Linked DNA regions of Arabidopsis thaliana. The protein of the gene in region 3 interacts with the protein of the main gene of each other region in a pairwise test. Each region holds a gene or a part of one and is shown on either strand. Other genes may lie near its edges.

Region 1 (8,420 bases), on a different chromosome or scaffold from region 3:
CAAAAGCAGGAATATTAGCATCTACATTGGGGGAGAGAATCAAGAATTCAAAAGATTTGAATACTTCACTGGTCTTGGTCCCATGCTCAGTGATTGCTGCTATATTCAGAGCTTGCTTCAGATTCCAGGCTTTTCGAGATGAGAATAAGAACAAAGAAGCTGGCTCCATTGTTTGGAACATTTTCGGTTTTTCTTTTAAGGATTTCTCAGTTTCTATCTTTGGATATTTTATGTTTTTTTTTTACTTTCAAATTCAAGAAACAGATAGGAATTACATTTTATGAGTTTGAATCTGATTTAAGTTCAACGGTTGAAGTTTACTCATTCAAATCTGATTCTTGGAAGACGGCTGTTGATAAGACCTCTAATGGTTTATATTGATAACCATAGTCGAGTGTGTGTTTACAAGGAACTCCTTATTGGATAGCTTACAATAAGTCAAATCATAAACCCGTTTCAGTACAGAGTTTTGATTTCTCAAAAGAGAGATTTGAGCCCTTGGTTCGTCCTCCTTTTTATCTTTCGAGTGAGTTATCTTATTTGATGAATAATCTTTCTTTAGGGATTTTCAGAAGAGATCAACTCTCTTTGTTACTTGAATGCGGCTTAACAAGTAACATACACTTATGGGTGAAGAAGAAGAAGAAGAAGCTGCATTGGAGCTGGCTGGTGGCAGTTGCTATAACAGATCGGCTTCCGATATATGGTTGTAGATATTTAAGTTTCTTCAATGAGAAGAATGGTAAGCTTGTGGTATTTATCGAAAGCGGGTATATTAGCATCTACATTGAGGGATATAAGCAAGATTGCCAAAAAGTTGAATACAACACTGATATGGGTCGTACACTCGGTGGTTGCTGTTATGTTCCTAGCTTGCTTTGGCTTCCGGGCTTTTCAGAGGTGGGTATAGGTAGAAGAAGAAGCTGGTTCCAGTATTTGGAATGGCTAGATATGATGCTTTTATTTTTTTGTTTTGGAGAAGAATGTAAATATCATTATAATGAAGAGTTTTGGTCTTACATAAGCTTAACCTGATGGACATTTTCATGAAGCTAACATGGTCCCATGCCAACAAAAGACATTCGAGATTCAATTCATCAGCAAGGCCATGAAGCGATTAGGCTCATCGTTTCCGATATATTGAAAAATGTTACATTCCATTTATATACAACATGTTCAAAAAAATTCAGTAAGAAAATTGATAATTCACCAGCACCAATCCTTAGAGAGATAGCTTCTTAATCTCAACGACAAGATTCTCTTCAAACTATATCCCCTTTCATTTCAATTTTGACAGATGATTTCAGCTAAACTAACCAATCTCAAAAACTTCAAATCCTCATGTCAAATCGAAGATGAATGACTTCTTCTATGTGTACCTTTGTTCACTGAGGCAAAGGCAATGCAGCTTCGACTTCATTCCACAAGTCCACATTTCTGGTAAACTTCTCTTTAACTACCGCAATGAGCTCCTTTGCTTCATCGACCTTTGAACGACTTGCTAGTCCATTAACAAGCCACTTCATGACACTAAAACTCGGAACCCAATTCTTCTCCATACTCTCTCTACAAAGGATCAAAGCTGTCTCAAAGTCCCCTCCTTTACACAAACAATGTATCAAAGTGAAGTAACATTCACTATCAGGCTTGTATCCATTACACACCATAACCTCAAACAAATTCATAGCTTCATCCAAATTCTCCTCACTGCAAAACCCATGAATCAAAAGCGAATACGTCACAGAGTTTGGTCTCATCCTACAAGACATAACCCCATCAATCAACGCCTTTGCTTCTGCAGATTTCTTCCTTTTACACAAACATTGAATCATAATGTTGTATGTAGCTACACCAACATGAACACCAAATTCATCCATCATTCTCATCACTTTCCTCACTTCATCAAACTTCTCCTCCTTGTAAAAACCATCAATCATTAAACCAAAGCTAGCAGCTGTTGGCTTTATCCATTTCCTCTCCATCTCTGCAACAATGGAGTATGATGAACTCGTTGAACCTGATTCACACAAGACTCTAATCATTCTATTGTAAGTTTCGAGATCAGGTTCAATGCCATACATCTTCGGCATTTCGAGGTAGACACGATTCGCTTCTTTGTAATCCTTAGCCATTAAACAAGCGAAAAGAAGAGCATTTAGAGACTTCACCGTCCTTGGGATCTCGTATTGCTCGAGGTTGCGAAATGTTTGTATAGATCGATCAAGCATATTCGCTCTGCCGTATAGGATAATGGCACGGACTGCGAAACTCTCGGATTTTGGATCGGGTTGGTTTTGGATGAAACCGTCGAGAAGCTGCGATACAGCGACGAAGTGTTTCTCTCTCGCTAGTGTCACCACCGCAACGGAGAAGATGATACGGTCGACGTGATAATCAGGTGAGAGTGAAGTGGATCGGCAGATTTCGAGGATTCGATCAGGATTATTCTCGGATTTGAGAAGGGAGAGAGTATCTCGGCTCTTCTTCTGCTTGCTAGTGAGAGATTTTAGTGTGAAGATAGATGAAGAAGAAGACTTCAATCGGAATTGAGTCGCTTTCTGGAGTATAAATTCCGATGTTCGAATGCGGAAGAGGAACGCCATTACTAGGGTTCATGATTTCCCCGAAGAAATGGAGACGACGGCTGAGAGAGAAGAGGTTTAAACCGGTTTAGGGGTTTGACAAAATAAAATTTTTAATTTCAATGGTTTACTTAAATCATATACATAATTCATATCATCCGTTGATTTTATGACTAGTCAGCAACTTGGACGGTTCCGATTGAATCTAGGATATTTTTTAAAAAGTTAAATAAAAAGTTAAGGATCATGTTTAAACCGGGGGTTTGAACCCGACGTGAATCGAACACGCAACCTTCTGATCTGGAGTCAGACGCGCTACCATTGCGCCACGGATCCCTTGTGATTACAAGCACCAAAGGATATTTATATAGTAAAACACATATCGTTTTATTACAAACCGCCGCCTTCTCAAAGGGTTATCAACAATCTCTCATCTTTAGCATTGTTTTGTTATCTTCTTCTTCATCACAATTTTTCTACGGTCAGAGATTCAAAAGAGTTCTTTCTCTCTATCTTATTCTCCGATCATCATGATGCAGCAGCCACCACCCGGAGGTATCCTTCCACATCACGCTCCTCCTCCTTCTGCGCAACAACAGTACGGTTACCAACAACCTTACGGGATTGCTGGAGCTGCTCCACCACCACCACAGATGTGGAATCCTCAAGCGGCGGCGCCGCCATCAGTTCAGCCTACGACCGCTGACGAGATCCGGACTCTTTGGATCGGGGACTTACAGTATTGGATGGATGAGAATTTCCTCTACGGTTGCTTTGCTCATACCGGAGAGGTAATATTCTCAGATCTCTCTGTTTTCGCTTTATCGTTCGCGCTTAATTGTTTGTTCGAAGGAGATTAAGGTTAATTTGATAAGTACTTGTTAGTGTTAATTGTTTCCTCGCTTTTATATTTGAAAGATTTGATTTTGATGTGTAAAAAGATTAACTTTAGATGTTTGAATTTTTTTTAATATGTAATCTCTTTCCGACAATGAGTTAATGAGTGTTCTGTCTAGTTATATAATGACTAGTTGGTTTAACACTATCAGTATTTATTTTGCAGATGGTTTCTGCTAAAGTGATTCGTAACAAGCAAACCGGTCAAGTTGAAGGATACGGTTTCATTGAATTCGCATCTCATGCTGCTGCTGAAAGAGTTCTACAAACATTCAACAACGCTCCTATCCCGAGCTTTCCTGATCAGCTCTTTAGACTGAACTGGGCATCATTGAGTTCAGGAGATAAACGAGACGATTCACCGGACTACACGATATTTGTCGGTGATCTGGCTGCTGATGTTACGGATTATATCTTACTTGAGACGTTCAGAGCCTCTTATCCGTCAGTGAAGGGTGCAAAGGTTGTTATTGACAGAGTCACTGGACGTACAAAAGGATATGGGTTTGTTAGGTTTTCTGATGAAAGTGAACAGATCCGTGCTATGACGGAGATGAATGGCGTTCCTTGTTCTACTAGACCTATGAGAATTGGTCCCGCTGCTAGCAAGAAAGGTGTAACTGGTCAAAGAGGTAAAGTAAAGTATATGTCACATTAGAACTGATTTGATCTTGCATTCTCTTGATTTGTGTGTTGTAGTATCTATGTGATTAGGTTGCCTTAAGTAAGAACTAGTTAACTGCCTTGTGCTAAGTATGACTCCATTACTTTTTCTAAAGCCGCATCCTACATTTACCGCTGAGGCCGCAGTCAATTCTGTTAAAAAACTTAAAAAGATAGAAATCTTATAGAACACTTGTTGTATCCTGTTTGTTTCAAAGCAGGGGAGTCAAGAGGCTCTCTATCATCTTGAGGCCTGGAACTGATATTCAGCTGAAATGGTTATCTCCTTATTGAGTGCCCATGCTTAGGTCAGTTTTAAAGTTCATGTGTTGTCCTTTATTAGCCCTTTCCTTCGATTCAGCCCTACTTTAATTTCCATTTATCTTTTCTATACAAACCTTTATTCCAGTTCTTGGTCAGTTACTTACTTTTATAAGTCGATTCTTATGTAATTACTTTTCTATTTCATTCCGCTCTACTTAAAGTTCTTATCTTTCACTTGATTTACTTATATCTTTAGTACATCAAGCTCTTTTTTACTGTTTTTGTGAGTCTAGATGATAGAAGTTCTATCCTTAAGTTATGAGATTTGGTCAGATGTGACAGTTTCTGGAGTGGCCAGAGAAATAGTCTATACATTGTTTCTAATTTTTTCAGTATTGACCTTTATAATCCTCTATATTCCTCTCTATAGGCATTTCATTTAGTTTACCACCTTTATCTACCCTTGAGTAGTCAAAAACCTTGGGTGAAATGTGATGCAAATGTAATTGTTGCTCTCTACTTGCTCGTTTTCTTGCGGTTGCAGCTCCTCAGATCCTTTCTCAATGCTTGTTGATGGAATGATCCTATACGTATAGTTTATGATTGATGTTAACATCACTGATGCCTTCTTTGAATACTATTCTCCTTTTGGAGTTTGGGCGGTGTGTTGTATATGTGTGAATGCCTTCTTTGCATTTGCTTTCATTTTGATGTGAATATCTAGATGAGGCTGCAAAAGGCTCCCTCATAGTTTTCCAATCACTTTGTTGCATGTGTAATTTACAGTGACTTACTACTTCCATTATACCTGTGTTTTTTCGTGTAAATGCAGATTCATACCAGAGCTCTGCTGCAGGGGTAACAACTGATAATGATCCAAATAACACAACTGTGGGTCTTAAGCTCCTATTATATATTTGTCCCTCTCGGTTATCTTCCAAAGCGGTTATATCTGACGCATTTTAATTTACTGTACAGGTTTTTGTTGGTGGATTAGATGCATCTGTCACGGATGATCATCTGAAGAATGTCTTTAGCCAATATGGTGAGATTGTGCATGTGAAAATACCCGCTGGAAAGCGCTGTGGATTCGTTCAGTTTTCCGAGAAGTAAGTCTGCTGCTACTACTGGAAGCTCTGTCTTTCATTTAACCCTAAAATAGTCTTTGGAATAGAATTCTAATAGTTTTTTTTATCATGTGTTTTGTGACCAACCCTCACTTTTCAGGAGCTGTGCAGAGGAAGCTCTTAGAATGCTGAATGGAGTGCAATTAGGCGGAACAACCGTCAGGCTCTCATGGGGCCGAAGTCCTTCGAACAAACAGGTAATTGATAATCTTTACATTGACATTAGATGATAGAAAGAAACAGCTCACAGTGTATCGCCTTTTGTCTAAGAACTATCGCAGCTTCTCTCACCGTGTATCGGCTTTTGTTCTAAGAACTATGTAGTCCAGGCTATTGTTTTAGATGATAGCAGAATCGCTTAAAATAGTTGAGTTCAAGTAGCTTTTTATAATCTGAAATGCTTTTTTGATATTGGTTTCCAGTCGGGGGATCCGAGCCAGTTTTACTACGGTGGGTATGGACAAGGACAGGAGCAGTATGGGTACACGATGCCTCAAGACCCTAATGCATATTACGGAGGCTACTCTGGTGGAGGATACAGCGGTGGTTACCAGCAGACACCACAGGCAGGACAGCAACCACCACAACAGCCACCACAGCAGCAACAAGTCGGGTTTAGCTACTAACCCCGAGAGTATTGCTTGAGTTAATGTCACTCTGCTTGTTGTTTGCGTACTTTGTTATGAACTTGTTTCTGCGTGCCTTGTTATGAATATTTTCCCAAACACAGTTTATTTGTCTTTGCTTTTCTCTAGGTGTGTGTTGAGTTTTTAACTCTTAATAATGTTTCTGCGATGCTTCTGTTTTTAATGTTTTCATCACCTTTTGAAAGAACGTAAGCGTTGATTATATTTTAGGGTTATGTGTTTATTTTTGAATGTTAAAAGAGTGGTCGATGAATGATAATCACCAGAGATCTTGAGCACAACTAGGCTCCAGCTTTAGAACAGTTGGAGTCTTTAGAGGTCTATGTAGAGGCAGTGTGGTATACGTCTCTCAAATCTCAAGTTGAACATTTTACATACTATGAATCTTGGAGTCATGTATGTATGGACTCATATCAACAGCTCCAAGCTTTGAAAAATATATTTAAAATAATTGTCTTGACCCGTTGTCCTAACCAAAGGACACATAATAAGGAGAATCTTGATTAATTTAGTAGATCTTGCAAATCGTTGTCTTATATCTGAGACCAAAAATTGTTGGCTCCGAAACAATATTATTATTTTCTCAAGTTCATAACGTTATAGACTTATAGCTTTTTCATAACCGAGGAAATTAGAATTCTTTCATTACAATAAAAAGAAAAGTCAGCGATTTTTCCCCTGCTAGATCAGTAATATTCCTAAATTATGTCCATTAATTGAAATCATTATTCATTAATTATAAGAAATCTATCAAAAAATTAAGAACTCAACAAAACTATTGATTAATGGTTTTTCCGACATGGACACAAAGGTTAAAACCAAATTCCACATATGTATTTTTGGGCTGCAAACTCGTAAATTAAAATGCTAAAGTAGTAAATGTTATCTTATACATGTAAGTACTATATATATATGACCTCATTTTTGCAAACAAATAAATTAAGATATTTGGACGGCAAGCTCTTAAATTTAAATGTTTACAGTCTAAGATGTTATCTTACAAATATATAAACTATATGACCTCATTTTGCATAATTAAATATGAACAATGATTTTTATATACAGGCATTAACTATAAGATTGTTAGCTGGAAAATTCATACTATCTTATATATTATCTTAATGATTTGACTTATAATTAAGTTTAATTGTCCTCTCTTTTTTTTTGGCCAAAAAGTTTAGTTTCTAATAAGAAATTACATAACTTGAGAAAAAGAAAATAAGAAACACGTATACAAGCTACAAGTTAGTGCACCAGCACTGCTCAATGCAATGACTACAAATACTTGGTCATTTCAACTCCTCTCCTCATCTCTCTCTGATCACACTACCTTCTCTTCCAAAAGTCGTCGCCGGGAAAACACAAAAAGACGAAAATGACCCTATTCAAGAGGCCATGTCTTTACTCAAAGATGGACAAGGAAGATCCAGAAGAGGTACTTAGCCGACGAGCCAAGTTCTTGATTTACAAAACACTTCAAGAAGCCGACTTGATTTCTCGGCGTGATCCTCATTCGTCGTTTATACGGCTGAAGCTTTATCTGTTGAAGGTCAAGATCGGAAAGAGGTTGGCTAAGCTACGCCGGAGTGTAGTATCCGCCGTTAGATTTGGCGGAATTCGAAAGCATTCTCATAATGGCGTGAGAGCGTTGAAGAAGATGTTCCAAGGTGGTGCAACAACTGGACTACCTAGGCCTATTTTCTCCCTTGAAGTTTGAAATTTCATTTATTTATATTTCTTGTTTTGTGTAATTTTTTTTTCTTTTGTTTCCGGAGTTTCTTTTGATCTCTATTACAAAAGTTTATCAAGAAATGTAATATGAAGAGATCATGAGTTTTGTTTCTTTCAAAAAGGTAAAAAAAAATCTTGAAATAATCATTTAACTATATGATGATCTATTTTTATTTTGTCAAATTTTAATTATATGATGATGCTAAAATATATATAAGACACACAGATTAGTGTAAATGTGAGTTATGTTTACTTAATTTTTGTACCTAAACTTTTTTTTTTTTTTTTTTTTGCTAAAGAACCTAAACTTTTCAAACGCTCATCAAAGTGGTTAGAGATCAAATTTAAGTTTGATGTAAATGTGAGTTACGTTTACGTAATTTTTGTACCTAAACTTTTTTTTTTTGCTTATGAACCTAAACTTATTATTCAAACGCTCATCAAAATGGTTAGAGATCAAATTTGAGTTTGGATATTTTGGATAGTCATAAAAAGCATGGTTGGATAGC
Region 2 (6,392 bases), on a different chromosome or scaffold from region 3:
GCAATTTTATCAGATAAAATCATGTATTACTTCTTGTATCATTCAACACTTTCATCAGCAGCAGCTACATCTTCAACTTAGTCCTGTAATTTATTTTCTTAACATACAATTGAATTCAGCTAATCGTCCTTGCGAATGATCAAATGCATAGATAATTGTATCATCCTAAATAAAAGACGTGGGGAAATCATATGACATCTAGAACTTTGGAGAAGGGGGAGATAAGTGATGATGCATGGAAGCATTTCCCAAAGATAATCGAATAGATTCTCTCTTTTCTTTTGTGTTCGTCAGTTTTTCTTTACCATTCCCCGAGACAATATGGTGGGTTTATTAATTATTTTGATTCTTCTATAATTCTTCCCATTATTTTTATATATTCTTTTTAAGTTACCCATTCTTTTTTCTTCAATGTCGAGACGTCGAGTTAGTTAGCTTTTACGGCGACTTATGGATAAGGCATTACGCTCGGAGCCATGGACTGAGTTGGATAGATATAATGCGTATAATATTTAATCCCCATAACCTATATTTTAATTCCTATACATTGTAATGGTAGCATCTCAACTTTAAGGTTAGAGTTGGAACCTTAAAGTTTATGAATATTACAAAACACTTGTATGGGGGTGGAGTGCATGAAAATTAGAGCTGGGATGTATATATGGGAATATATATGCACTACATTATCTTACATTTTACATTGAAAAAATATTAGAAGATATTGTTCTTCATTTATTTAAGTATATTTTTACTGCTGGTGTATTCTACTGCCCTATATATATCTCGAAAGTTAAATAAATTCATATGTTATATAACTTTTAGTCATTCGTGGCATTCTTCTGTTACATCTTACTGTGGATTTTTCGTCTTATTATCTTATAGCTGACTCTTACTTTAGAGAGACAAGTATACCACAATGGAAAGGGTGATTTGACGGTAAAAAAAGCGATTGCAGTGTACCCACAAACGACAATTTATAATTTGTATGTGGGATATATAGTAAGGGAAATAAAAATCATAGGGTTAAATAGAAAAAGTGAATGAAACTGTCTTGTAGTTGTAGTAGACGAATCAAAAGGACACGTAGATGGTCAAGATACGAACCTCAAAGCCTTTTCCCTCCCATTTAATGATTCTTGTTTTTGTTTTAATCTATAATTTTTCATGATTTTCTTAAGTCTTTGTTTTGAAAATCACGAACGAATAAGTTCTGATGGATGTACTTGAATATTAGTAACAAGACTAATTGAATTAAAGAAAAGAGAAGTTATTCCTTTGACGTTTATAATTTTCCGCGGCTAAGGGAACATATACGTTCCTTGAAACTGTTGCCATGCAACTTTTGCTTTAACAGTTTAGAGAGTTTTTTACTTCATGCTACATCCTTTTTCTCCTGACACACACAAGAGCATATTATACATCCATGTACCTCCTCCATCGACCATCAATATATAGATACATGTGATTATTAATTATCTACATAAAAAGTTATACCACGAAGTTGCGATTGATAATATGAAAGTGGTACATGCTCGAAATAGATAATGAGAATATATCAGCTTTAGTTGTCTCATCGTTAGTCAATCTATATGTGCATATACAGTTAACAAGAAATCTATAAGCATATACGAACTGGGGTCCCAATAAGGTCTAAGAATCTTTTTTTTCTTTTTTTCTTTTCTTTGCTTTGCTTTAGTTTAGTTTGTGAAATTTAGTGAAAATTTCATTTTGTCTCATAGAGAAACCACATGTTAGTCAAAAATTATATAGTAAGTCCAAGAAAACTATATTAATATACCCATATTACCATATAGTCGGAGATTTCTAGTATCTCTAGTTTAGTTCTTCTTATTCATTATCAATTCAAGTGTTATAAAACCTCGAGACCAATAAAATAGGATTCACTCTCCTTCGTGCCCCCAAAGATATAGGTTTACATATCTATATTTCCACACCACCATTTTAAAAGCAAGAGTTAATTAAAGAGATATTTTTTAGTCATCTTGGTATGTAATCTGGTAAACTTTTTAGTTTGTTATCTTGTATAAACAACCAGTAAGATTTTGGTTCTTTTGTAAATACTTCTCTTTGAATTTAGGACTAGTGTTTTAAAATTACTTTCCTCCCATATTTTTGTTTTGATCTTTCAATTTAAATTAAAAGTTCGTTTACAACCCATGCATGCACACTTCCGAATTTAAACTCGGATTATAATTTGGCACTATAATAATCTATTAGAATACGTCTTGATTAATTTTAAAATATTTAGGTGTCTTAAAATAAGTACGTACGTTGATAAATATGGAGATATATACATCTGTCAAGTAAATGGTATTGAATTTGCCAGTATTAGCTTTTGTGAAGCTGACGCAAAATGAAAACGGCTGATATCTAAAGCTTTAACCTTGTGTTTCTTTTTTTTGTTTAAAATAGTGGGGTCTAGAAATGATAAATTAATTTAAAGTCCTCGATATATATAAATAGATAAATTTGTTTCTTTTGGGAATAACGTAGTTTACGGAGAAACCCAAATGTTAAAGGGAAATGCATTAAAGCTGTAGCAAAATAAGAAAGTAAAAACCAATTGAAACCCTAATTTCACTTCAAAAAATGTTCCCGGTTGTTAAAGGAAGGGCCTTTTGCTTTGTCCATATAAATATATTGTGAGAGTACAACAACACCTTCATAAGCTCTTACACTCATTTCAACTCTCTTTTTCGTTTCCATTACCCTCAGGTAATCATAACATATATATAAGTTACATTTGTAGATACATATGTCTTTAGTTTTGTGTAATTTGTTACTTAATTATTATTTTCTATGGTGTTGTAGAAGAAGATGAATAGGCCGGGAGATTGGAACTGCAGATTGTGTAGCCACCTCAACTTCCAGAGGAGGGATTCATGCCAACGTTGTAGAGAGCCTAGACCGGGCGGGATCAGTACCGATTTACTCAGCGGTTTTGGTGGCCGTCCGGTTAGTAGCTCCTTCGGTTTCAACACCGGGCCCGATGTGCGACCCGGGGATTGGTATTGCAACCTTGGGGATTGTGGGACACATAATTTTGCCAATAGGTCCAGTTGTTTCAAGTGTGGTGCCGCAAAAGATGAGTTTTCATGCTCAAGTGCTGCTGCAACAACCGGGTTTATGGACATGAATGTTGGTCCGAGACGTGGCCTTTTTGGTTTTGGCGGCAGCAGTAGTGGTGGTGGTGGTACGGGCCGTTCTCCTTGGAAATCTGGAGATTGGATTTGCCCAAGGTACTTTTTTGTTTGATTGTTTCTATGTATTGATGTTATTTTTTTGCAATAATATGTTTTGATGGTTAAAACTTAAAGCCAAAAAAGAAACATGCATGCTGGCTTACGTAAGCTAAACACGACCGTTTAAATTGTATTAATGTATATGCATATCGTAGAAACTGATTGGTTTAATTTGTATATTATAGGTCAGGCTGTAACGAACATAACTTCGCAAGCAGGTCAGAGTGTTTCAGGTGTAACGCACCAAAGGAACTTGCCACCGAACCACCCTATTAGTCATTTAGTCCTCCTACCTTCTTCATCATTTCCAAGTACTTTTCGTTTCAACAATAGTCTTAACTTCTGATCAGAAACAGTTCGACATATATATTTGGATGATAGAATTTGTTAACATTTACAACTTTATTATATCGTAAAAGTTTAAATAGTAGTGTGAAATACACTAACGATAGTACTTTAACGTTAACGTACGTATCTTTTTGATTATTTTTTTTAGTACTCTGGAAGCATTAGAGGAGAGCAGAAAGGTGAAGAATCGAAGCAAGATACCGACCGCCCTTAATCTCTTGATTTGTTTAATTTCTTAGATTTGACTCGTTTTATATCTCGTAGTAGTCAGACCTATGTTAGAATGTAAGCATGTCGAGAGTTTTCCGAAGCATTTTGTTCTGATATCGGTCTCCTAGCTAGTATGTAAGTTTGTTTGAATGTATTCTTATTTCTGATAAAGTTGTTTCCTTCTGATTCCGCAATCACGATTCTCATCTAAGTTTGAAACACTTGAGTTGTTGAACGTACGAGAGGCTGAGAGCTGTTGAGAACTTCTTCTGTGGCCGCAAATCCAAATTGCATGCAAATGTTATTATATATGCAATTAAAATTTTGTTATATAATTTGTAGTAGGAATGTAGTTTTACGTTAAACCAAACACAAACTCTAGTAACCGTTTGAAATGGGTAGATGCATGGACCACAACGAAACCTTTTGTCCAATGCCTCAAAAAAAAATATGCATGAGCATTCATATTATGATGTGGCTTGGTGATAATGAGCTTACCACCAAATCGAATGAAAATGTATGAGTTCCACTCTAAAATGAGAATAGTTATCAGAAAATATTAATTATGTTATATATCATTAATTAGTTTAGAATTCTAATTTATTTTCTTGGTAACATTAAGTTGCAAAATTAATTTTAATTAAATACAAATACGGATTTCACTATATATTAAATTGCGTATTCAAGGCCATCTTTTCGCACATACATTCGAGCAGTCGAACAAAACCCATAAGAAGATTTTTGCAATGAAGTTTTGTCATAAACAACAATATTGCAACTGATCGATGACCGTTTCCTTAATTGTTTGTAATGGGTGGTATACTTAAAAATTTGTTTTCAAAATGTAAGTAAGAAAGAAAAAAATCAGTAACGCATTTTTCATATTTACCATTCAACTTTTGATCCTGCTTATTTTTGTACTGTTTGTTCCGTCTCGCAGTACTAATTAGAACTACACTTTTTTTGGTCAAAACACTAACTACATTTTTTTTGCTTGATCTACTACTCAATATATTTTTGTTTTTATCGCTCGTTCTATACTGCCACGTACGATTGAGACTCTAAAATAGAGCAAGCGTACGTTGGTACGTGTCCACACACACGTTGCATTTTGCATAGGATTCCAATTTACTGAACTCATGGAAGTGTAGTTAAGATTATCATCAACGGGTCAAAAAAAAAAAAGACAACCAGTCTTTAATGTCTGCTACTATAATCCATTGCTTAGCTTTTATTTTTTCGTTAAAGGGTTGCACTAATTGGCTTTTTACTAAAGAATCTTTCGTTTTTCCCCCACTTTGAAGTCAATTCATCATTTGATTCTTCTTTGGTTTTAGTGAAGTGAAAGTACGTCTTAGGTATGATTATCATGCATGCATCATAGTGAACGTCTTCCCACTTTGAATTTCAAAACTATCAATTATTAGATTCGATTTAGATATGAATATATAATAATAGTATTTCAAAATGCATAAATTAGGTTGTGAATTGTAGACGATAAAATACAACCAGCTTAGTAATCTTCTTCTAATTATCAAATATATAGCATAATTCCTAAATCATATGTTTATTCTCATTAACTAACATAGTAGGTAATTCTGTTCATATGATTTAGCTAAATGCACGGTTTCATAATCACCTAAAGATCCATAAGCAATCATCAAATTACAATTAGTGTCAAACTAAGCACTACTTAAAATTCAGTGTTGGCGGAGAATAATATAAGACACATCTAATTACAATGGTAAGGATAGATGTGTGCAACAGTGCAAGTATATGTATAGCTTTAATCATAACTTATTAGTGTTTCTTTTAATGAGCAAATGAGAGAGACTTGTCGATGACCAATCTAAGTAAAGTGTACATCACTTGTTAAATAAACAAATATATTCTTACTGTTAAAGTCAATTTTTATAACAAAAGCAATAGCAAAGATAACTTTTTATCCATTTCAAAAACACCCTTACACAACGCTAATAAATTCTTAAATTTTGGGAAAAATTGCGGTAACTTTTATAAAAGTTTTAAAATTTATCTTTAACCCACATAAAAAAGCAAAGCATGTTCATCTTTCTAAGCCCTTTTTTTCTTAGCCCTTCTTTCTTTTGTTTCACATTTCCACATTCTTCCTAATAATTTCTATCTTTATGCAAAGCACACAATTGACATGGATGGAGCATATGCATATGTATTTGATGAAAACTTATTTTCTGGTACAGTATAATTCCACCAGAAAATTGAAGCCTCCACACGAATATTGTTTTTTTTTTTTTCTTTTTTTTTTACAAGATGTGATATACATAATGATTTAAATTTGATTGGTGACACGTTAACGACACTAAGACAGATTGTGAGTTTCCACGTGAGTTTGTTATCAAAGTATTTGTTTAACATTTGAGGACTCAAGATTCATATTCTAACATTATCAAATACTATTTTCTTACATAAAATGAAAATATCACCTATTGTTCAATTAGGAAAAAAAAATTGAAGGAAAAAGAAGATAATTTAAAATACTTTTAAGTTGGAATGCATGTAGATTAAGATTATTAAAAAATTAGAAAATGGCAA
Region 3 (7,070 bases):
TGTATAACAACAAGAAGAAGATACAAAGTTATATAATCATATTAGTCACCTCCTCCTTGAGTTTTGCAAGGTCTTCTTCAGGCATCACTACACTTACAATCCTTGCAAAGTTTTGCTTGGGAAAAACCAAAACAACACCTTTGTCTCCGACCCCATGAATCGTGTAGTTTACGAAATCCGGCTTCCCTCCGTTGATCTCAAGTTCATACATATCTATTTCATCAAGATTCACAAACGTTAAATTTGCACCGTACGTGAAAAAATCCGAAGAGCCTTTATCTTGTTCTATCATCCTCTTGATCGCACCGTTTTCTTCTCTTTTTTCACCAGCAATCAGTGCAGCTAGTTCGGATATCCCAACCATTTCGTCATTCTTTTCCACTACGCTTATTACCAAGTCCTCGTTCCAACAGGTTGAAGACTTTTTACGGTCACAAATTGTTATAACATTCGTGTTTGTTTCGCCGCGGATATTCAGTAGCGACTTCCATATCAATGCATACAAAATATCAACCTCCGAGAAAGGTTGGTCTCGCGTGGTGTACTTGGCCATCAAGCTATCAATGTGGTTGAGGCTAAAATTAAAAATGTGTCTCCCCATCTTGCATTTATTGGTAAGTAACCAATACTCGCCAACCGAATCTATCTTTTCAATGGAAATAGCTTCACCATCATTACGAGCATGAGAGGTTAGTTCGGGGGTTTTCGGGTAAACCGGTTTTGTTGGGGCATGACCCGATACCAGCTGTCCAAGTGTTTTCATGAACGTTGATGCTGAAAACACGTCTCCAAGAATATGGGCCCAACTCAACCCAATACAGAGCCCACCACATTTAAACTGAGTTATCTGAAAAACGAATTTCAAAGTAAAAAATTTAGTTTACTCTAGCTAGCCTGATTTGGACAAAAAAAAAACACACACACACACACACACAGAATCTAACCTGATCATATATAGTGAAGAATCAATTTCACATGTAAAAAATATTTTCTCTTCAAGTTCCACGGTTATATTAAATATTCATTTCATAATTATTAATTAAGCTAATGATTGGAAAGAATTTGAAACGAATGTTTGATAGTTAGTAACTAAGAAAGAAACTAAGTTCGTGGGAGAATCAGCCGTTTTCGTTGCATGTGAACTTAAATAATCCATTATATTATACTAAAATTTGTGTATGTGTGTTTACCTGGAGGAAAACGAGTGGCGAGAAGGTAAGATCAGGACCAAGAACGTGATCGTAGACAAGGAATCGGTGGTCAATGGAACGGTCGTCCAACTCGAGCCACTTCTCCACTGTGAACTCTTCGACGTTGGCCTCGACCACGCGTATGCCACTGTCGTTGCAGCGAATGTAAGGTATGGCTGCAGCTGAAGTGTCGTTGTCGTTGTCGGACATCCGGATCCGACCTGAGACGTGGTGATAAGATTGGAGTAGAGACTGTAGAGTAAACATGGTGTTCTTCACGTCGGCGACAGTGAAGTCACGTGCACCCTTGAAGAAGTAGACGGCTCGGACGTAGTGGAGCTTCATGGCTAAGTCCATGGGTGTGAGCTGTCGTGGCTTGTTCTCACCTACCACAGAAGCAGGCACCACCGAAGAGAGCCTGACACTGGTCACTGGGCTTCCCTCCATTTTATTTTTGTGAGAGAGCTGATATGTGTAGCTTATAGGCTTAAATGGGATGTGTTATATAAGGATTGAGTTTCGAAAGAGAGTTGAGTTCAGAATAGGCATGGGTATCACTGATTTAGGACAGTTGGGAAAACTGTTTCCGTGACGGCAACATTAAATGTGGGTGGGATTTGGGTCTTTAGCAACAACATTAGAGTTGGACAGTTGAGTCATCATATTCAGATCCATCCAACAACAAGCACACTTTATTACGTCCACCTTGTCCTTATTGGCTTCAAGCAATAAACGCACATGTACGTGTCGTAGCCAACTAGTATTATATTACGGTACCTAACAAGTCACATTAATCTATAAAAAACCAAGTTCAGTTTCCTGGTAACATTGTTTCCACCAGCAAAAATGATCTTAATACGGATGCGGTTCATTTCCACCTCAAACACAATCATGCAACAAATTTCCTGATAATGATTTTACATAATTGTACGATAACTAAATCTTGCGAAAAAACAGTAAAATTTTTGGTAGAGAACATCCCTATTGCCAACCAATCTACTCCTAATTGCGCCCTCAGAGATGTTCATCATTCGCTGTTGTGTCTTGTTAAGAAAATAAACACAAGTCACTGAACAATACCTAGTTCGAAAGAGTCAACGGTGATCTTTCCAGGTACCTCAGATGCTTGGACTTGGTGTATTTTCACTAGGCCAGTTGTCCTGATTAATTGCTTGACTCATCGCATGTAGCACCATCTAGAGAAGCAGCAAGGTACTCAGCAAGGCTCTGCTGATTACTGCTAGTTTTGTGGGTAGCTTCTGAGGTCACAGATTTTTTTGGTGCTATAGACTTGGGAAGCCAGGCTTGACCTGTTGAGCTGCTGCTCGAAGCATCTGAGCAATTCTTCCATAAGACTGGCTTAAGATGCTTCCATGGATCTTCAGCCATAGAGTTGGAGTAAAATCGTTCTGCCCCTGGTTCCATGGGTCTTCTTCCTCCATCTCTCCCAAAGCTTGTGTTCATACCGCGTCCTCGACTTCTGCCTCTTCCTGAGTTAGGATACGTGTTTCCACCCCAGTTTGCATTTTGTCGTCCATAATTGGAAAACTGTGGAGGAGTATTGTTGTAGCTGCCTCGACCACCAAATCTATTATTCCCCATGTTCGGCATTTCTTGAGAGAATGGAAAAGGGCGAGGTACCCATTGAGGTGGACCTGAATGGTTAACTGGTGGAGGCCTAAAGTTGTTATTCCAACCGGCGGGTGGACCTCTGTGTGAGGGTGAAAGATGTGCCATCCCTCTTGGTTCATAATGAGCTGCATGAAAGCCACCATGATTGGTCTGTGCCTGATACTCACTACATAATGATCCTGTTCAAAGTTATAATGCAAGGATCAGAACTGGATTACTGTTCATTGCAAGGCACAGGACACAAACCTAACTGAATTCCATAATTGATGTGATTTTCATACTGTCAATTCCTAGAAAGTGAAACTTAAAGAGATATATCAAATTAAAGTAGCTAAAGCTAATAAGTTTGAAGCCTGAGACTGAGAGACAAATTTCTTCCTCCATTGATCTTGATTTGTAGATTATAATCAAGAACACATGACTAAACCCAAACAAAGAACAAAAATTTCATATAGATTTGTAGAAGAGAATCATCACCTAACTCTACGAAAGCCCAACAACCAAATACCAAAGTGAATTCCTGATTCTGTTCAATCCTATACCTATACTCACCAAGGACCAACTAACATACTGTAAGTTAAACTCTCATGATATTAGGCAATCTTCTTTATCAGTGGACTACTTTCTTTGGCCTCACAAGAATATAGACAAAACAAAAATTAAGACAGAGTCATTGACTATCAAGGCAGAAACAAGCACCTGGAGGAACTGATGGTGGAAACTGAGGTGGTACAGGAGAGCTTCCTTGATGACTAGGAGATGAGATGTATTGTTGCTTAGGGGTCTTGTTTTTCTTGAAACTAGAATAAGCAGCCATGGGATCGGTATAATAATCAAACCTTTGCGTTTCAAATGAATCCTGCTGGTGATTGGATGTCTCTGCCAATGGATTGGAGAGGTGACCTGTGCTCATAGATGTTTCAGTACCTGTAGTAGCATCATCATCATTCTGCGCTGCAGCTTCCATTCGCATTGCTTTTAACATCTGTTTTCTTTTCTCTGAATCTTCCATTGTGATTCAACTACAAGATCAAAAGGAAATTTAGAAATCAATCCTTCAAAATCCAAAACACGAGCTACTACAATGTAAAAGCATTAGATACATAATCAATCTGACCTTAAAACCCCAAATTCTTACAATTATCGGATACCCAAATTGGAAAAACGAAATTGAAGGTGAAACGAACCTTCACAAAAGTATGGTTTCTCCAAAAATCTTCACTTTCTCGTGAAAACCTTCAACTGTGAAACAACGATGATGACGAAGCCTTTCACTACATAAACGAAGACTTCCAAAACCGGGTTAGTGTTCGACCGTATTTTTCAATTAAACCCGGTTTACTGGTTTAAGCGATTGAAATCATTAAACCGGCCCATTAAATTTTCCGATAGAACCTTCTCTCAGTCGCTCAATTGCCCGAAAACAAAAGTCTCTCTCTCTCGATCGACGCCGCAACGTGCTCCTTTCAGGTGATCTGCTTCTTATTCTCCATTTCGTCATCTCTGTTGTTTCTAGATTTGGATCACGTTTTTTCTTTCCTCGATCTAGTGTTTGTTTTAACTGTTTTCGTAATTTCTGATCAGATTTAACCGGAAAAGTTGAATCACACTGTCGCATCTCTCACAGTCGTCGGAGAAGAATGCACGGTCGTCCAAGGAATGCTTCTAAGCCAGAAGAGGAAGCAGCTTCAGCTGCTAAAGCTGTTCAGCTTCGCTCTCTCCAGTCTCAGTTTATGACGAATCATCACGATAAAATGTACAATCTTCTCCTTCATTTCCATCGGATCAGTGTACTTCCCAGATTTTTAGTACGATTTGAAGGATCCTTTGTTTATTTACTAATCATTTGTTGCTTTTTTGGTTTCTAGTTATACCAATGAAGCTATTGAGTTAAGCACGAAGCTTCTAGAAATCAATCCGGAGGCGTACACCGCATGGAACTACCGGAAGCTTGCTGTGGAGGATCGCCTTGCCAGAATTGAGCCTGATCCAAACTTGGTCAGCGCAATTCTTGATGAAGAACTCAGAGTGGTGAGTTATCCTGTCAATTAAAAGAAACGAATTTGCTCTTTATGAAAGTAGTTGCTTATTAGTTACTGTGAAGTCGGTTCTAAATTCAGGTAGAAAGTGCTTTGAGGCAGAATTTCAAGTCCTATGGTGCTTGGCATCATCGAAAGTGGGTTTTGAGTAAAGGGCATTCATCCGTAGGGAATGAATTGAGACTTTTGGAAAAATTCCAGAAGCTGGATTCCAGAAATTTTCATGCTTGGAACTATCGCAGGTGAAAATTAGGGAATGTCAACACTTTTTGAAAGGAGCATTGTGTATGTTAATCAAGCTTGCATATTAATGTGTTGTTCCTTTCCAGGTTTGTTGTAGAGCTAACCAACAGATCAGAACAGGATGAGTTGCAGTATACAGATGATATGATCAATAACAATTTCAGCAACTATTCTGCATGGCATAATCGTAGGTATGCATATTCTTTAGTATATATTATACTTTACTGATTTACATGTTCAGAAATAGTTTTTTAGCATAATCGTAGGTATGCATATTCTTTACTATATATTTTTGTTCACATTCTGCAGTGTACTTCTATCAAGTTTGTTGGCACAAAATGCTGATGGGTTTATGCCAAATATAAAGATTCCTGAGGAATATGACTTTGTACATTCGGCTATTTTTACGGAACCAGATGACCAAAGTGGCTGGTTTTATCATCTTTGGCTTCTTGACCAAACTCTTAATGTGGAGACTCCTCTTCTCACTTCCTCATGGCCTTCACATGGTTCAAGTATCATTCTGTCTGGAGCTGGGTGCTTGAGTGGCTCTTCATCTATGTTCACTACTTTTTGTTCTGAGTCGGGTTCTTTTCCACTGATTCTCTACTTTGACCAAGCTGTTGGTGGAGTAAGCTCATCTACTGTTACAATTGATTCTGAACTAAAAGGAAACGAGGGCCTTGTTTGGGAACCAATTCCGAACAAAAATTCTCAGGTGTCCTGTGTATGGGTTGCTCGTCTGAAATATGTCAGTTCAGATCCTTGCGAATACAAAGTGAAGATCAGAGTTGGGAACTCTCCAGGAATCGTTTCTTCCAGAGGATATAACTTCAACGCACCTTATGAGTTTGTCTTTACAGCCCATGTTCATGATACCGTCGAAGATTCTCAAGAAGGCATTGTTTCATGGACGGATGGATTTGATATTTGGGATGCGAAGTCAAAGGATTTGAATTCTCTTGTCACCTTGGATCGGTTAAATGCTGAGATGGATTTTAAATGGCGTCAGGAAGCTATAGATTCTGAGGTTGAATGTTTCGGTATACTGCCTGACAGGTATATATCCTATATACTTTCTCTCTTTGATTGGAAAGAGAAATTGTAGTCTTAAACGTTGTGTTATTTTTTCCTTTATAGCAAAATTGGAAAGCTCACTCTTGCAAGGCTTTTGATGGCTCGTGAAGCTATGGTATCGGATGATGCTGTCAAGGGTGTTCACTATGAAGAAATCCTTCAGCTGTATAACGATTTGATGGCGCTGGATTCTTCACACTACCAGTACTACAAGGATGAGCACAGCAAAGCTTTTCTCCACAAGGTACTTAGTCTTCCTTGTTGCTGTGAATCTTATGTTAAACTTTTGCTATTAAAATTTTCATCGGAGTTATGATTTTCCCCGATTCTCGTCTACAGTATAAAGTTGATTGTTCGATTCTAGATTTTTTCCTTAATTCTGTTTCATCATGCCTACTACTCATAAAGAGAATGTTCATGCAGGTGACTTCAAGCAGTGAATCTTTGTCAAGACACCTTTTGCGATATAGGGATATGAACAATCTTGTATGTCTACGGCTAAATAACTTATCACTATCTCGGATAGCCTCTGTTGAGAAGTTGCTGTTTGTCCAAATGTTAGACCTTAGTCACAATGAGCTTCATTCCACTGAAGGTAAGTTTCTCGATTTCAGATGTTGCATCTGTGTGGTAAATGTGACTAAATGGTGTATGTTGGTCTTGCAGGATTGGAGGCAATGCAACTTCTCTCTTGTCTAAATCTGAGTCACAACAGAATCCGGAGTTTTTCAGCGCTGGACTCTCTAAGACATGTGAAGCAGCTGAAAGTGTTGGATGTTTCACATAACCACATTGGCAAGCACTCAGTGGACACAACTAGATACCTTTGTTCTTCACCGCTCTCTAATTCAGAGTTGGGTCAGGATGATGTAGGAAAACAGAATCCTGG

What was found.
Region 1: the proteins of SIC (region 3) and RBP45B interact in a two-hybrid assay, tested with the Arabidopsis thaliana proteins (one large-scale study listed by BioGRID).
Region 2: the proteins of SIC (region 3) and AT5G25490 interact in a two-hybrid assay, tested with the Arabidopsis thaliana proteins (one large-scale study listed by BioGRID).

The regions. Positions count from the first base shown.
Region 1 is NC_003070.9:3,911,783-3,920,202, forward strand, and holds RBP45B (RNA-binding (RRM/RBD/RNP motifs) family protein), read left to right. Parts: upstream 1-2,991; 5' UTR 2,992-3,112; coding exon 3,113-3,373; intron 3,374-3,645; coding exon 3,646-4,111; intron 4,112-5,238; coding exon 5,239-5,297; intron 5,298-5,384; coding exon 5,385-5,515; coding exon of another isoform or gene 5,516-5,519; intron 5,520-5,633; coding exon 5,634-5,730; intron 5,731-5,955; coding exon 5,956-6,159; 3' UTR 6,160-6,461; downstream 6,462-8,420. Other genes in the region: AT1G11620 (F-box and associated interaction domains-containing protein), read left to right, coding at 1-142; AT1G11630 (Tetratricopeptide repeat (TPR)-like superfamily protein), read right to left, coding at 1,386-2,603; AT1G11655 (uncharacterized protein), read left to right, coding at 7,556-7,897. UniProt on the Arabidopsis thaliana protein: Heterogeneous nuclear ribonucleoprotein (hnRNP)-protein binding the poly(A) tail of mRNA and probably involved in some steps of pre-mRNA maturation.
Region 2 is NC_003076.8:8,873,801-8,880,192, forward strand, and holds AT5G25490 (Ran BP2/NZF zinc finger-like superfamily protein), read left to right. Parts: upstream 1-2,520; 5' UTR 2,521-2,736; intron 2,737-2,832; 5' UTR 2,833-2,838; coding exon 2,839-3,260; intron 3,261-3,448; coding exon 3,449-3,539; 3' UTR 3,540-3,574; exon of another isoform or gene 3,575-3,759; 3' UTR 3,760-4,104; downstream 4,105-6,392.
Region 3 is NC_003075.7:12,655,496-12,662,565, reverse strand, and holds SIC (hydroxyproline-rich glycoprotein family protein), read right to left. Parts: upstream 4,134-7,070; 5' UTR 4,010-4,133; exon of another isoform or gene 3,940-4,009; intron 3,845-3,939; 5' UTR 3,835-3,844; coding exon 3,522-3,834; intron 3,002-3,521; coding exon 2,355-3,001; 3' UTR 1,899-2,354; downstream 1-1,898. Other genes in the region: CER2 (HXXXD-type acyl-transferase family protein), read right to left, coding at 29-847, 1,191-1,637; RGTA1 (RAB geranylgeranyl transferase alpha subunit 1), read left to right, coding at 4,463-4,578, 4,691-4,853, 4,943-5,103, 5,191-5,295, 5,414-6,163, 6,245-6,425, 6,605-6,776, 6,848-7,070. UniProt on the Arabidopsis thaliana protein: Involved in miRNAs and siRNAs biogenesis and thus promotes gene silencing. Modulates auxin (IAA) transport-related developmental programs by regulating protein phosphatase 2A (PP2As)-driven auxin efflux carrier PIN proteins recycling and polarity.